3 linked regions of the Caenorhabditis elegans genome follow. The protein of the gene in region 3 interacts with the protein of the main gene of each other region in a pairwise test. Each region holds a gene or a part of one and is shown on either strand. Other genes may lie near its edges. The genes, in order: ZC434.8, unc-116 and F33D11.10.

Region 1 (3,703 bases), 4.5 Mb from region 3:
TTTCGGTTATGGAGTGGATCCGAAAGAATGGGATGATATTTCCAGCAAATTCGAGCATGTATTCTTTGCAACTAGACGGATATCAAACCAAAAACTACGGAAAGAAGTGATGGAAAGATATAATGGAAATGCTCTGTTTTGTGATAAATTGTGAGTTTTCAAAGATCTGGCTTTTGGTTTTAGTTCCATTTTTGAAAATCAATTTTTTCAGGTCCACAGATGACCTCATAATAATTCGAATGGCTCTAGAATTCGGTCCGGAGACGTCAATTGTTACAAATGATAAATATACTGATCATCGTTCAGCAATCTGTAATGGTGATCAAAAGTTGGAGAAAATTTTCGACGATTTTCTCACTGATGCATCACATCGACACTTCCATGGCCGAATCGAGACGAGACGGAATTTCAATATTCGAATTCGTAATCCGGATAATAGAATATGGATACTGCCCGTTATGAACTCAGAAGGAAAGCTGTCGAGAAACATTAAACGTTATAAAGTTGAAGTTTTTAGAAATAGTTGATATACGTGTTTCTAATTGTGTATTGTTTTTGTCATGTAATAAACACACTATTCATGATCCTCGATTTAATTTTTTTTGACTTTGAAAAGAATATAAAACTATCTACTAAAATTTATTCCAAATCAGAAATTGAAAGTGATCTTCTTAGGCGGCGGCCTTCTCCAATTCAATCAACTTCTTCAATCCATCGTACATCTGACGAACTGCTTGATACTCGGTAAGCCCAAGACGCTGCTTGTTCGAGATGTCATAGATTCCTTCCTTCGATTCCGAATGTTCTCCATGAATTCCACGAATCTGAAAATTATAATTTGAAAACTGAAATAAAACTTTAAAAATACCTGAAGCTTCATGTCACTGCAAATCTTCTTGAAATCGTCCTTTGCCGAGATCTTTGGCAGCTTAATGTGAACCGATGCACGAACAGTTGTTCCCAAGTTGGTTGGACAGAAGGTGAGCCATCCGAGACGTGGATGACGAGCGAATGGAGCCTTGGCAGCGACGAGGTTCAGTCCTTTGATGAGTCTGGCGAGAACTTCACCAACATTTCCTCCATTTTGCATAGAGATGATACGCAAGTGATCCTCCTCGTTGACCCAAACCAAGAAAGTCTTCTTCTCATTGTGGAAGATTCCACGTCCGTTTGGCCAATAACGGTTGGCATTGGCAGCCTTCAAGAAGCGATCACCTTCTTTGAAGAGGAAGTGATCAGCAATGAGCTTCTTCTTCGTCTCCTCATCCATTCCAGTCAGAGGGTAGTACGTTCCCTTGAGCTCGGGATCGGTGATGCTGTTGAAGATCTCCTTCATACGGGTTTCCATCATCTTGTAGTTGGTCTCAGAGAGACATGGATTGAATGGGTATCCTTGCAGAGAACGTCCGCAGCGGATACGTGTCGACACAATGAATTTGCCCTCTGGGTCGAGATCGGCAAGTTCTCCAACCTAAAATGTACAAAATAGAATTAAAAACAATTAAAAAGTAATTACATTTTTCTCTCCCAAATCCATTGCTGGTTGAGTGTCGGTTGCCTTGAATCCATTGTGGTACTCTTCGATCACAGGATTGAAAAGATCCGCGAACAAGGTGTAGCTCTCCGCGTCTGGAGCATAGATTCCGACTCCCGAATCGAGGTTCTCTCCGCCCGACTGAATGACATCCAAAAGAGTTGCTCCGAGACGGGTCTTCTTCGACTTGTTCTTGGCGACAACGTCCTTTGTCAAGTGCTTCTTGAGAAGTGACGAGCAGTCAGAAGCTCCTTGGAGTTTCGTGTAGACCTGGAAACAAAAACAAACGTTAAGAACTTGAAAACTTAAGAAAACTCACTTCTTCAATCGATTTCTGAACTTCCGGGGTCGCTGTCATATTCGATGATGAAACGTGTAACAGGCGGTTCGTTCTTTGAAGAGCTGAAGCTGTTAGACTGATGATTTTTGGAAACGAAGCCCTTTTATACAGACGATAATGTGGCAGAACGTGGGACCGTGACATTCTATATAATACAGTGAAAATGTATTTTGAAAGTTCAAATTACATCGGAGTTCTTAAAAAAAAACTTCACGTATTCATAATTAAACATATTTTTGGGGTATAGCCCGCTATAGCGCCAGTGGGGAAATTGGTTTAAAGCACGCCTATGATACAATTTTTTGAAAGTCGATAAAATCTCAGTTTTTTCTTAATTAAATGTTCGGAAGAAAAAAGAAAAAAAAACAAGTTAAATGCAATTTTCAATAAAAAAAACGGTAAACTGTAAAACAAACTACTTTCAGATTCGTCGTCACCGGAACGTATAATTTTACACTTGCACGCGTTTTCAGTTAACTTTTAATGATCAATTTGCATTTAACCTGCTTTTTTCTTTTATTTTCAGAAAAGAATATACAAAAAATGAAAAATTCAAAGAAATAATGAGAGAAAAAGTAAATAAATGATGAAATGAAAATAATGCAAGCGCGCTCTATCGAACAAACAGTTTGGCGGCAGGTTCAATTTAATTGTCAAAAACTGATATTTTTCTGAGATCAATTTTTAATAGATCATATGCAATTAAGAAAAAATTGTTGAATTAAAAAAAAAATACTCGGTCATTGTATACAATGGTACTACAATTGTAGTACCATATGCGTGTATTACAGAAATTTTCCCACTGGCACTGGCGCTGGATAGGGCTACTTCAGATTTTTTGTTGGTATACTTATGTGTTTTTCATAAATTAAAAAATTACACAGCAACTTTTCAAAGTTTATATAAAAAATATCCCCAAATGTCTAATCCGTGACGTTCCAAAATTAGACCCGCCCACATCTTGAATTTTGTCAAAAGCTTTTTGGTATAGGTGCGTTTCTTTTTATTATCTTGAATTTTCAAACTATTTTTAAAACAATATTTTCTTCCAATCAATTTTTATTCCCACACCTTCTTTACCAAGCCATCCTACGTAATCTGTTTCTTCAGATTAAAATCTAGCACTTTATTCTTCTATTTGGTTTTTTCAGTTGCGAGATTTCCGAGAATTGCCCAATTGGGAAATGATGTATGAAAGTTTTTTCAAAGGAAAACATTATAAAGGACTGCATAAATTATTTAGAAGAAACAAGGGAACCACACCCACTAAACGAAATGCCCCGTGGGCAATCAAGAGAGTTTTCTCACACATTCTTATGTTTTGGAATATTCAAAGTGGTCCGGGGTTTATCTTCATAGCAACTTATCTTCATGTGTCTAATATTAACTACAAACGGTTTCAGAATTAAATTGTTTAATGGAGAAGGGTGCCAACCAATCAGCGACGCGCTAAAAACGTTTATTGGTAGAAATTTATTTTGCGCGCGTATTTAAAAATTTTTCTAGCCCTGGCTTTTGTATTTTGAAAAGCCCTTTCCATGAGTTTAAAATAGCCTACTTTCCTCTAGAAACACTGCTTAATGTTCAAATTACGTAACTTACCGTAATCCAGTTCTTCCAGAAGACTATAGAAAAGTGTTTGGAACGGTTGAAACCTGTCACTTTTTCTTATCATTTCACACATTCACAATTTCTTCCATCATTTCCCCGGACTTTCTCTTCTTTAGGATACTATCCTTCTCCTTAACCCAATAACTTCTCCTTTTTTCCAGTCTCCCATTTTTCCGTTATCCGTATTCTTTCCCTTTCTTATCTTTTTGTCCCTCATT
Region 2 (6,550 bases), on a different chromosome or scaffold from region 3:
TTTTTCATACTTTGATGTGGGACAAAAATGTGTGAACCTTTAGGAGCCCAGTAATTAATTACCGGTAATTTTCAGAAACATATTACTTAATTGAAACCTATAGGTTATAACTTGAAAAATGATAAACAGAAAATTAACGGAACGGGTTACTGTACCACTTAAAGGGGCATATATTGTTATTTAAGGGTCCAACAAACCTTGGTGCACTGACGAACGACTTGTGCGGCGATTTGTGAATAACGGACGTAGTTGAGTCCAGCAGCTCTCCAGGCGACCATTTTTGATTTTGGGGGAAAGTTATTTAACCTTAATTTATACTATAAAATAATAAAATTTTCAGAAAAAGGAAGTAAATTGAAAGGTATGGAGAACAACCTTTAGACTAGAGAAATCTGTAAAATAAAAAATAAAAACTTTATACAGTCAAAGTTCAACAGGAAACTTGATAATATTCGAAAGTTACTGAATAATAATTAGTTGGTCCAAAATGGAAACAAAACTATCAATAAATATTTAATTACATTAAACTTATTTCTCATAGTTTTCAATGATATTCTCACTCCAGAACACTAATCAGTTAAGCTCATGCGTTTGTTGGTTATTCTTGCTCGTATGTTATTGTAAAATCTTGTTTAAAAAACAGCAAAACGTTTATTTAATAACAGAAAAAATAATAATTTTATTTACTGGAAGAGCAAAAGATACAAAAAAATGAATTACGCAATTGGGATGTGCGGGGATTTGGGGGCCGAATTGTGCAGAAACGAAACAAGTTGATTTCTTATGAAGAATGATAGGGGGATTTAGCAAGCAAGCTTTAAAGACACTCAAACGCATGCAAAAAACAATCATAGGAGTGTTGGTGGGTGACGGGGGGAAGAACCAGACAAAACCTCGTGTCAGATTAGTAAAACTGAAACAGGAAAATCGTATAGAAACAGACTATTAGAACAAAAAGGCGGAAAAAGGCAATTTGGGTGGGGGTGGAGGGAAGCTTTAAATACTTTTAGCTTTTGAAGTTTTGTATTCTACATGGAAGACGAGAAGCCAAGGAACGAAATGGGGAGACACAACCAACCAAATGAAGATATTTTTGTTGAAACTTCCAGAAGCCGCGTAATTGTATAAGTTACTAGATTTTAAAATAAACAGAAAAGCCCATCGAAAGTATATCACAAAGCCGGGAAAAGAAGAGAGATAGAGAAGCATTTGAATGTCAGTCTTCAGTGTATTGATTGGATCAAAGAAGACGATGAGTTGATGTTGTTGTTGGGAGACATTATGCTGAAAAACTTTGATTAGTGAAAAATGGACGGACAAAAGACTGTTAAATTTGATAATACGGTAGGAAGAAAAAGAAACACTCACTCTAATTCTAATTCATAGTATAATTACTTGTGAAAAATTACATGAGCACTAAAGAATTTTTAAAAAAATCTTAAATTTCTGCAATCAACTGTGAAATAGTCATTTTTGATGGTATCTGATTGCGAGATGTTGAAGGTGTAGATGTCTGACTAAACACACCGTTTGAGCCATTTGGAGCTCCTTGTGACATTCCTGCTGACGGAGACGTATACACTTGTCCTGGACGGATTGGCTTCACAATTTGTGGAGCATTCATTCGTCGCATGTTACGTTGTCGAACAGCTTCCTTGATTCGTTCAACTTCTTGTTGATACTTCTTTCGTTCTGCTTGACTACGTTGCTTCGAATCACGAAGAGCAGTTTCTAATATTTTGATGCGATCTTCACGACCACGAAGACGAGCTTCCATCTTTGGCAGTTCAACGCGCAAATCGGCATTGTCGCGAACAAGCTGAAAATTCAAGTTTTAAGATAATCAAAATGAGAATAAAAACGACAAACCTGCTTGTGAACCTTCGTCAACTTGTCCAAATTGTTCTCCAAGAACTGAATTCGTTGCTTTTGAGCTGGTCCACTGAGAGAATCTTCTCCCTCGGTGTCTTGATTGGCTTGGCATCGAGCAACAAGTACTCTCATGAACTCCTTTTTCAAATTCTTCAACGTTGTAAGCTCCATATTGACACGATCTGTTAGTGGCTTGATCTCCTTTGCCGCCTGATCCTTCACCAGCAATTGTTTCATTCTACCCGCGTCTTGACCAGATTCAACACGAGCAACATCAGCTGCAAGTTTCGCTTCAGCATCATGCTCGGCAGCTGTACTGCTCTCTTTCGCAGCAGAGTATTCTGAGAAGAGTTTTGAAACTCCGATTCTGACATGGTTCAGAAGATCGTGATCAGGAAGTTGATCATTTTGAGAGGCAATGTCAGCAATGTTGAATTCACGAATAACATTGTAGATTCCTTCTTTGAAATGACGGATTTTTGGACCACATTCGTCAAGATGAGCATTGAGGAGTGATGTTGCTTGGTTCATTCGATCTTCCAAACTCTGGTTATCTTCTTGAACAACTTCCAACTCTCTCTTCAATTTTTCGCATTCTGCTTGTCGAACATCCAAGTTGACAGCAATCTCTTCCAGAGCTGTCATCATTTCCTTTCCTTCTTGCTGCTTGTCTTCAGCTTCTTTTTGGAATCGGTTGTTCTCTTCACGGATCAGCTCCTCGTTTTCACGCATAGTTCCCAAAGCTTCTTCTTGGAGAAGAACTTGTTGTCTAAGCTTCTCAAGCTCTTGCGAAACTTTTTGAATCTCATCATCTTTCTCGTCGAGTTGCTGATACAGTTTGACACGTTCCTCTTCGTACTTCTTCTTCTCTTCGTCAGTGATCGGGCCAGTTGTAGAAGTTAGCATTGGAGGAGCTGGAGCAATCGAACGTTCCATGAGTGGAGTCGACCCACCAGAAACTTCCGACACAGCCATTTGAGCAGAATCTGATAGATTGACCCATTCAACCTCAGACACTGATTCTCCAGCACGCCAGCGTGAAAGTTCCAAAGCCGCTGCCTGGAGAAGGGCGGCCAATCGAGTATTCTTCTCTTTTTCTTTCTCATATCGCCGTTTCCATTCTTCTGCTGTGAGCTCTTCGTTGATTTGTACAACATTCTTGATAGTCTTCGCACGTGCTCCGAACAAAAGTGTGGATTTAGTTTCAGCTTCGTTGAAATGTGACGGAGAAGCACAAATAATAACTGTAGTACGGGAATTTCCTCCTAGAGATTCTTGAAGAATACGAGTCAGTTTGGAATCACGATATGGAACATGAGATTTCTGAAATAAATATTCGTTTTAAGAAGGTCATAATTTAAACAACTCACAGTTCCTTCAGCCAATGCTGAAATAACTATTCCGAGTGCAGTAAGTGACTTGTTGATGTTTTTGGCTTCTTCTAAAACTGTTCCTTGAGCTCCAGTTTTGCTCACTTTCTCAGAACCAGCCAAATCAACAAGATAAAGCTTTCCGGTGAGCTGTTTCTTTGTTGTCTGATGTTCTTGTTTCACAGTAATCAAGAAGACGGAATGAGATCGAGAAGAATGTTCGTTCATGTCTGAAATTTCGTTCACATGTTAATTTGTTTAATTTTAAGTTTACTCACTCGTAACTGCAACCATTCTGTTGGATTTTCCATCTTCGATTGCCTGAAGAACCTCATCGGGTCCTCCAACAAACCGTTCGGTGGCTCCCTTCACGTATGGCACTCGATTTTTATCTTCATGAATGGACAAATTGACCTTCTCGGGGTCTAATAAATCTCGAATCTTCTCGTTGTAAATTTCATAATAGGACACTTTGATGTGAAATTGAAGATTCTCGTCCATACTATAAATGTGGTTAAAGATGTCAGCAACGATACGTGGAATGATTCCCGACAAGCCATTATCACCGATTACTCCCTGTAAAAAATATGAAAATAATTAAATTATATTGTTAATTTCATCGAGCGCCGAATATTTTAAACGTAAAAATTATCAAAAATCTTTCGGGCATTCGATTTCGGAAATAACTGCTGAAAATTAGTTCTCAAACTTTTCTTTTCATTAATCAGTAAAGATTTGCACTGTTGATATTACAACTTGATTGTCTTTGTCGCATTCTACGTAATTATCAAGGTTTTCATAATTCCTACCTCCATTGTATGTGTTTTTCCGGAAGATGTTTGTCCATATGCAAAAACTGTTCCATTATAACCGGATAATACATCCTGTACGATGTGATAAGCGGCTCCTTTGTACACTTGCTCTTGCGTGGTGTTCGGCTTGAACACTTTATCGAACACGTATACTTTTCCCTGAAAAATTCCAACAAATCAATCGATATATATATATATATTCAACTTTGCACTTTTCGTGTACTTTTCAAACAGATGAATGTGTCATGTGAGAGAATTGACACACCTGCATCCCCCGTGCTTCCCGTCCCTGTTGACATAATTGTTCCCTATGACCCCTTTGTATTACTCACCCCAAGCGATATACTGTCCTCGGAAGGGAATTTGGGCAGGAAACGGTCCGCATTCTTCTCCTCGGTCTTATTGAGCGGCCGAATACGACAAAATACCTGAAAACAATATGAAATTGGAAAATCTAGGCGGGGAAAATTAATACCTGGACACCGCATTCTGCTCCGTCTGTCCGCGGCTCCATTTTCAGAGAATAATGATCACCAGTTGGCGGTTTGTAACGGCGCCTATCGTATTAATTACCCGGCTTCTCCTTACAATGCCTGCAATAAGTATAATCAATATGCTGAGTAGAGAACAAGAAAAGATGACGAGATGCAAGAGAAATAGAGAAAGGAGGAAACGGCAAAACATTGCGAAATTTCGGAATATTTCATCACTCGTCTCGTGCGCGATGCACAGAAGCTGCGAGTTTTGTTTGATTGGGCGGCTTTGACAAAAAATAAACTAAAGGCTCATAGATTATGGATAGACAACGGAATGATAACAAAATAACAAAAACTGCAACGTTTGTACTGAATATTCAAAATTTTCACACAGAAAATAGAGAAATAGAAAAAGACTGGCGTCGATCAAACGTGGCACACACAAATTTCACAAATTTATGCATTTTTGGTTAAATTGTTCGAAAAATGAGTTCGGAAAATGTTTTATAATTGAAATAATAGCTTCAAAACAACAGGAAACTTCTGGAAACAATAAAAGTTTTTCCCGCGCGGAAAAATGTTTTAGTTGGCAATTTGTCGTGAAATCTTGGGTTTTTCGAATTACGTACGTTTGCCTATCGTATTTTCGGTCAGATTAATTTTTAATTTCAGTTTTCTTTTTTTTTTCAGCAATGCTTATTTAATTACTTATTTATATTTGACATTTTATGTATATGCGCGAGAATTAAAAATTAAAAACAACTTGCAAAATCTCGTACATTTTCAAAATTTTATACTATAAAATTAACACCATCCAGCAGTGCTCAGTAAACCCGTTCATAATATACCCAGATTTAAACCAAATTAAAACCGTACAAGCCTATATTGTGAATTTATCTGCACAAATTTGGTTTGGATCTACACAAAATCGATTTGGAAATACACAAACCTACACAAATTCAGTTTACATCTACTCAAACTTGCAATCTATGCAAATTAAGTTTGGATCTAGACAATCTTGGTTTACATCTGCCCAAAATTAGAATTTTTCATAATATAGGCTTGTACGGTTTTAATTTGGTTTAAATCTGGGTATATTCTGAACGGGTTTACTGAGTGACAAGAAAGACAAAGTGAAACTGAAATCGCAAATCCAAAAACTAACATTTCTCCACGATACTTGTCTCTTAACTTTTCGGAATGAATATTAGCTTCAATATTATGCAATAACATATGGATAAATGCGGTTTTAAATAAATTTCATAGATAAATACACAAACTAAACAAGATGAGGATATCCGAGGGCAAATAAGGAGACTCAAACCAAATATGGTCATCAAATTGACAATGAGTAATGGCCAATACGACACGATACGGCAGATGGTGAAGGAAGGCGGGGGAGACCGATTCGGATGCGAAAAAGAACGATAAGAGAGAAAAGACACTGCAGGTGGGAGTATTGTGTTCAGTAGATTTTCGTGGTGGGACCTAGAGGATGGTCGGTGCAAAAGCTTCATTGAAAAAGAGTGAAACGAGAGGAGAGACACACTCACAACATTCATTCGTTTGGCGGGAAAAGAGACGAGGGAAGACTTTAGTATTGGGTGGTAGAAAGAGTTGGAGAAAGAAATTCGAAGGGATACAAGGAATGTATTGGCATCGTGAAGAGACACAGAGATACATCCGTGGTTCCCTGTGTTCTCTTCATTTTGTATAATGTTTTATTCTCGGTCAGAGGGACAACGGACGGCCTCTTCAAACACTCACAGAACATTCGCTCACTGCGCTCACTAGTAGAGAATAAAGGAAGTTACGAGAGAATGAAACTTCGAAGATAAATCAATTTTATTTTTTAAAATCAATGTTCGTAAACTTCGAATTAAGTGAAACCGTAATTTGAGATATATGAGTTTTGTTTGATCATCACAGCTACCATTTTCTCGGTCCATAGCCACATTGAGACAATGGATCTGATTCTGGTGGTTGATGATATAGTGGTGCATATCCTGCTGCTGCAGAT
Region 3 (3,863 bases):
TCAACACAGTCTCTTGTTACTTTTCTTACTCCGTTTTGATGACGATAGAGTGGGAGACAAGACGAGTGCGTTCGGTTTTTAGTTGACGAGAAAGGCAAAAGCTACGAGACGGCGGGTTGTTGTATTTGAGTTTTTGTGTCTAAGATAGAGGAAAATGATGCATCGTCTGAATTCAAAAATTTCCGTTTCAGATAGGAATTTAGAATACCAATCGTGTGTTCAAAAAGCGAGTGGTCTCTGAGTAAGTAATTCTCAATTTAAAGAGGCTGAAACTTCCTAAAAATCAAACATAAAATAATAAAAGAAAAATTTAATATTTAAAAACCCACAATGCAATGATATTCCACGTGAAGCCTTCGTAGAGTTGATTTTTTTCTGAAATGTTTTTTTTGTTAGTATAAATTCACGTGAATATCACGCCGAAAATTAGAAATTGGTTATTTTCCGATATTTTTGAATATTAGAGAAGTTTCTACTGGCTTACATAAAAATATTGAAAAGAAAATTAAGATCTCCATTTATTCAAATTACTGTTCAGATTTTTAAAAATCTCCGTTGGATAGTATTTGGGTCTTAGTATCATGAAGGATTCAAAGGAGATCTTTGTAGGATTAAAATAAAAGAAATAATTGATAAGGATTTTCAAAACAAAGAAAACAAAAACAAAATAAATTAAAACATGAGGTGAGCGAAAATATATCTTTCTTCAAATGATATCCGCAATATTCATGGGCATTTCGTCGATTTGTGTCGAATAGTATTGCTCAATGTCTCGCAGAATTCTGACATCATCTTGCTTCACAAAGTTGATGGCGACTCCCTTGCGTCCGAAACGTCCAGAACGACCAATACGATGAATGTATAATTCACGATTGTTTGGAAGATCATAGTTGATAACCTGAAAAAAGTTTTTACTGAATTGTCTATATTTCATGACAACTTTTTTTTGCTGGTTTTTTGCAAAACTAATCATTTTAATTTATTACAAATCGAGAAGAAACTAAAAAAAAATCTTACCAACGAGACTTGTGGAACATCTAATCCTCTCGCCCAAACATCAGTTGAAATGAGCACTCTCGTTGTTCCTGCTCTGAACTCTTTCATAACTTCATCACGATCCTTCTGTTCCATATCTCCGTGCATTGATGACACTGTGAAGTTGGCTTCCTTCATTTTATCCGTCAACCAATCAACCTTTCTACGGGTATTACAGAATAGTACAGCCTGTGTGATGGTAAGAGTATCATAAAGATCAATAAGAGTGTCGAACTTCCATTCTTCTCTGTCAACTGCAACGAAGAATTGCTTGATTCCTTCAAGTGTCAGTTCATCACGTTTCACAAGAATTCTGATAGGATCTGTCATGAATTTACTGGTCATCTCTAGAATTTCATGAGGCAGTGTGGCTGACAGAAGTACGACTTGTGCTCCAGGTGGAAGATATCGGTAGATATCGTACAACTGCTCCTTGAAACCTTTATTCAGCATTTCATCGGCTTCGTCAAGAACCAGAAGCTTGATCGCTCGGGTACGAAGATTACGACGGCGAATCATATCAAATACTCGTCCTGGAGTACCAGAAACCACGTGTTGACCGTAATCCAATTTGCGAATGTCTTCTCCGAGATTTGTTCCTCCGATACAGGCATGACATTGAACATTCATATAGTCTCCGAGAGCAAGAACTACCTGCAAAATGTGTTTTTTATTGCAACTCTGTATTTATTATATCCATACTTTTTGAATCTGGACAGCCAATTCTCTGGTTGGAGAAAGAATAAGTGCTTGTGTCTCTCGAACTTGTGTATCCAATGATTGAAGAACGGAAATTGAAAAAGTCGCAGTCTTTCCGGTTCCAGATTGAGCTTGAGCAATGACGTCACGTGCTTTAAGAATTGCTGGAACTGCTCTTTGTTGAATAGCCGATGGTTTTTCGAATCCATAGGCATAAATTCCACGAAGAAGGTCTTCTCGCAAACCCATTTTGTCAAATGTTGGAATAACATTTACTTCTTCAGAAGATTCGAATTCCACTGTTGCCATATCATCTTTTTCTGCTTTTTTACCAGCCATTTTGGAAAATCTGAAAAAAGATTAATTTTAAACATCACTCGAGTGACATTTTATTGTCGAGTCGCGTAAATTTCCAGGTAAATACTCCGAGATAATACGGCGAAAAAATTCAAAAATAAAAATAGTTATTGGAAACCATAAACATCAAATTTTATTGTACCATATACAAATCATGTGACTTAAATTGGTTGTTTCAAAGAGCATGGGGCTTTCTTAAAATCCATGGAGTCCTATATCAATCAATGGTTGTACACATAAAATAAATGAGAAAAGGTTGGGGGAACGGGGAACCATAGAATGGAAAATAAATAAATAAAATTCTTGATAATGGCTACCGGGTATGATGATAGGCAGTCACTAGACGGATCTATGATGGTCTAGAAGACGCCGGGAAAAACGGAAAACGAATAAACAAAGGAAAGAAGTGAAAGTAGTTTGAGAAAAAGTTTGAAATTTTTGCGCGCTGCGTTCACTAAAGAGGCAAGTATTCAAAATTTCAAAAAACCGAAAAGTTAAATATGTCAATTTACATTGCAGAAAATAACATTTTGATTTTTGAAATATTCAGAATTTCGCCCTTGGCAGAGAAAAAGTTAGAAAATTTAGGATTTGAAGGTTAAATTTGATGAAAATCCGAATGGAGCAATGCTTGTGTGTTTTAATGTTTGTGGCAGCAAAAAAGCACGTGAATGATAGTACCACTAGTTACTTAAAAGTGAAAATGAAGGAAGAATTGATTCAGAATTTAGAAAAGACGGCCAACAATAAGCCCGATGAGCAAAGCGGCAACCGCAATAAGGAAAATTTGCAATGTTGGGTATGCACCGTCGACAAGAGCTCCATCAGAATGCGATTGTTGAAGCTTGCGGTTCTTCTGAAAATATTTTTTGTAGAAAATTGAACACATATTTTTTTTTCCAAAGTGTAATTAATTTTTTCAAATTTCTTTTCTGATATTACCTTGAGCATGACTTCGATTTCTTGTTCCAATCCATGTACTTTCTTTTGCAATTCTTCTTTCTCGTCAACTGTCGATTTCAACGATTTGCGAAGGGAGTTAACGGTTCCATCATGCGATGGTGTTCCAGAGTACGAACTTCCGAGCTCTCTGCAAATATTAGTTTTTTATTGAATGAAGTTTATGAAGGAAACAATAATTGTTAACCTTCTTTTAACCTCCATTATAAGTAAAAACTCACTGTGCCTGTCCAGAAGAAGCAAAACTATCCTCGTTCCTAACCGCAAAGGTTTTTGTATCATCTCCAGACGCTGGATCTCTCTTGTCAACGAAGGTGACCATAAGCTTGCTGTAGGTCAGCTCCGCTGGATCGATTATTTTCCAGACCGATTCCAAATCTGGCAGATCTTCCGAAGGCGCCACACACGATTGAACCATAAACTTATGTCGTCCTGCATCAGATGGAATTCCTTCCAGAGGTTGAAGCATTACTGTGATTTGTTTCGAGTCACCAGATTTCAGGAGGCCTAAAAAATCAAAATCAGAAGGTCAAAGTAAACTTCAGTTTTAAAAATCAACCAGTCTAACAGATAAGGTCTAAATACAAATCATATTTTTCTTTTTGCGTTTAATTTCACTTTTTCCATATCAAATTGATTTCAATGCAAATAAATCCATCACTCACCAGAATTTGGACGAACACAATATTGCTTTGGAGCCGTTGTTTTCACTTTGAAGCACACTGGATTGGTTGATGTGTTCTTGAGAGTCATGTGTGATGTGACAACATCACTGAATGGGCCAGTGAACACGAGTTCACGATTTGGAGTCA

The links.
Region 1: the proteins of F33D11.10 (region 3) and ZC434.8 interact in a two-hybrid assay, tested with the Caenorhabditis elegans proteins (one large-scale study listed by BioGRID).
Region 2: the proteins of F33D11.10 (region 3) and unc-116 interact in a two-hybrid assay, tested with the Caenorhabditis elegans proteins (one large-scale study listed by BioGRID).

What each region holds. Positions count from the first base shown.
Region 1 is NC_003279.8:10,347,428-10,351,130, forward strand, and holds ZC434.8 (putative arginine kinase ZC434.8), read right to left. Parts: upstream 1,943-3,703; 5' UTR 1,893-1,942; coding exon 1,854-1,892; intron 1,805-1,853; coding exon 1,517-1,804; intron 1,472-1,516; coding exon 869-1,471; intron 825-868; coding exon 672-824; 3' UTR 628-671; downstream 1-627. Other genes in the region: coa-6 (PRORP domain-containing protein), read left to right, coding at 1-150, 212-527.
Region 2 is NC_003281.10:8,350,528-8,357,077, forward strand, and holds unc-116 (Kinesin heavy chain), read right to left. Parts: upstream 4,648-6,550; 5' UTR 4,569-4,647; coding exon 4,530-4,568; intron 4,483-4,529; coding exon 4,387-4,482; intron 4,214-4,386; coding exon 4,052-4,213; intron 3,819-4,051; coding exon 3,521-3,818; intron 3,473-3,520; coding exon 3,243-3,472; intron 3,196-3,242; coding exon 1,870-3,195; intron 1,820-1,869; coding exon 1,528-1,819; intron 1,285-1,527; coding exon 1,280-1,284; 3' UTR 637-1,279; downstream 1-636. Other genes in the region: R05D3.6 (Putative ATP synthase subunit epsilon, mitochondrial), read right to left, coding at 198-278; Putative RNA-binding protein R05D3.8, read right to left, coding at 6,460-6,550. UniProt on the Caenorhabditis elegans protein: Microtubule-dependent motor protein required for organelle transport. Plays a role in endosome transport. Required for the transport of mitochondria along the axon of motor neurons. Involved in the nuclear migration of hyp7 hypodermal precursor cells.
Region 3 is NC_003279.8:5,866,057-5,869,919, forward strand, and holds F33D11.10 (RNA helicase), read right to left. Parts: upstream 2,084-3,863; 5' UTR 2,074-2,083; coding exon 1,738-2,073; intron 1,690-1,737; coding exon 1,018-1,689; intron 899-1,017; coding exon 707-898; 3' UTR 506-706; downstream 1-505. Other genes in the region: vpr-1 (Major sperm protein), read right to left, coding at 2,819-2,947, 3,034-3,181, 3,273-3,558, 3,717-3,863.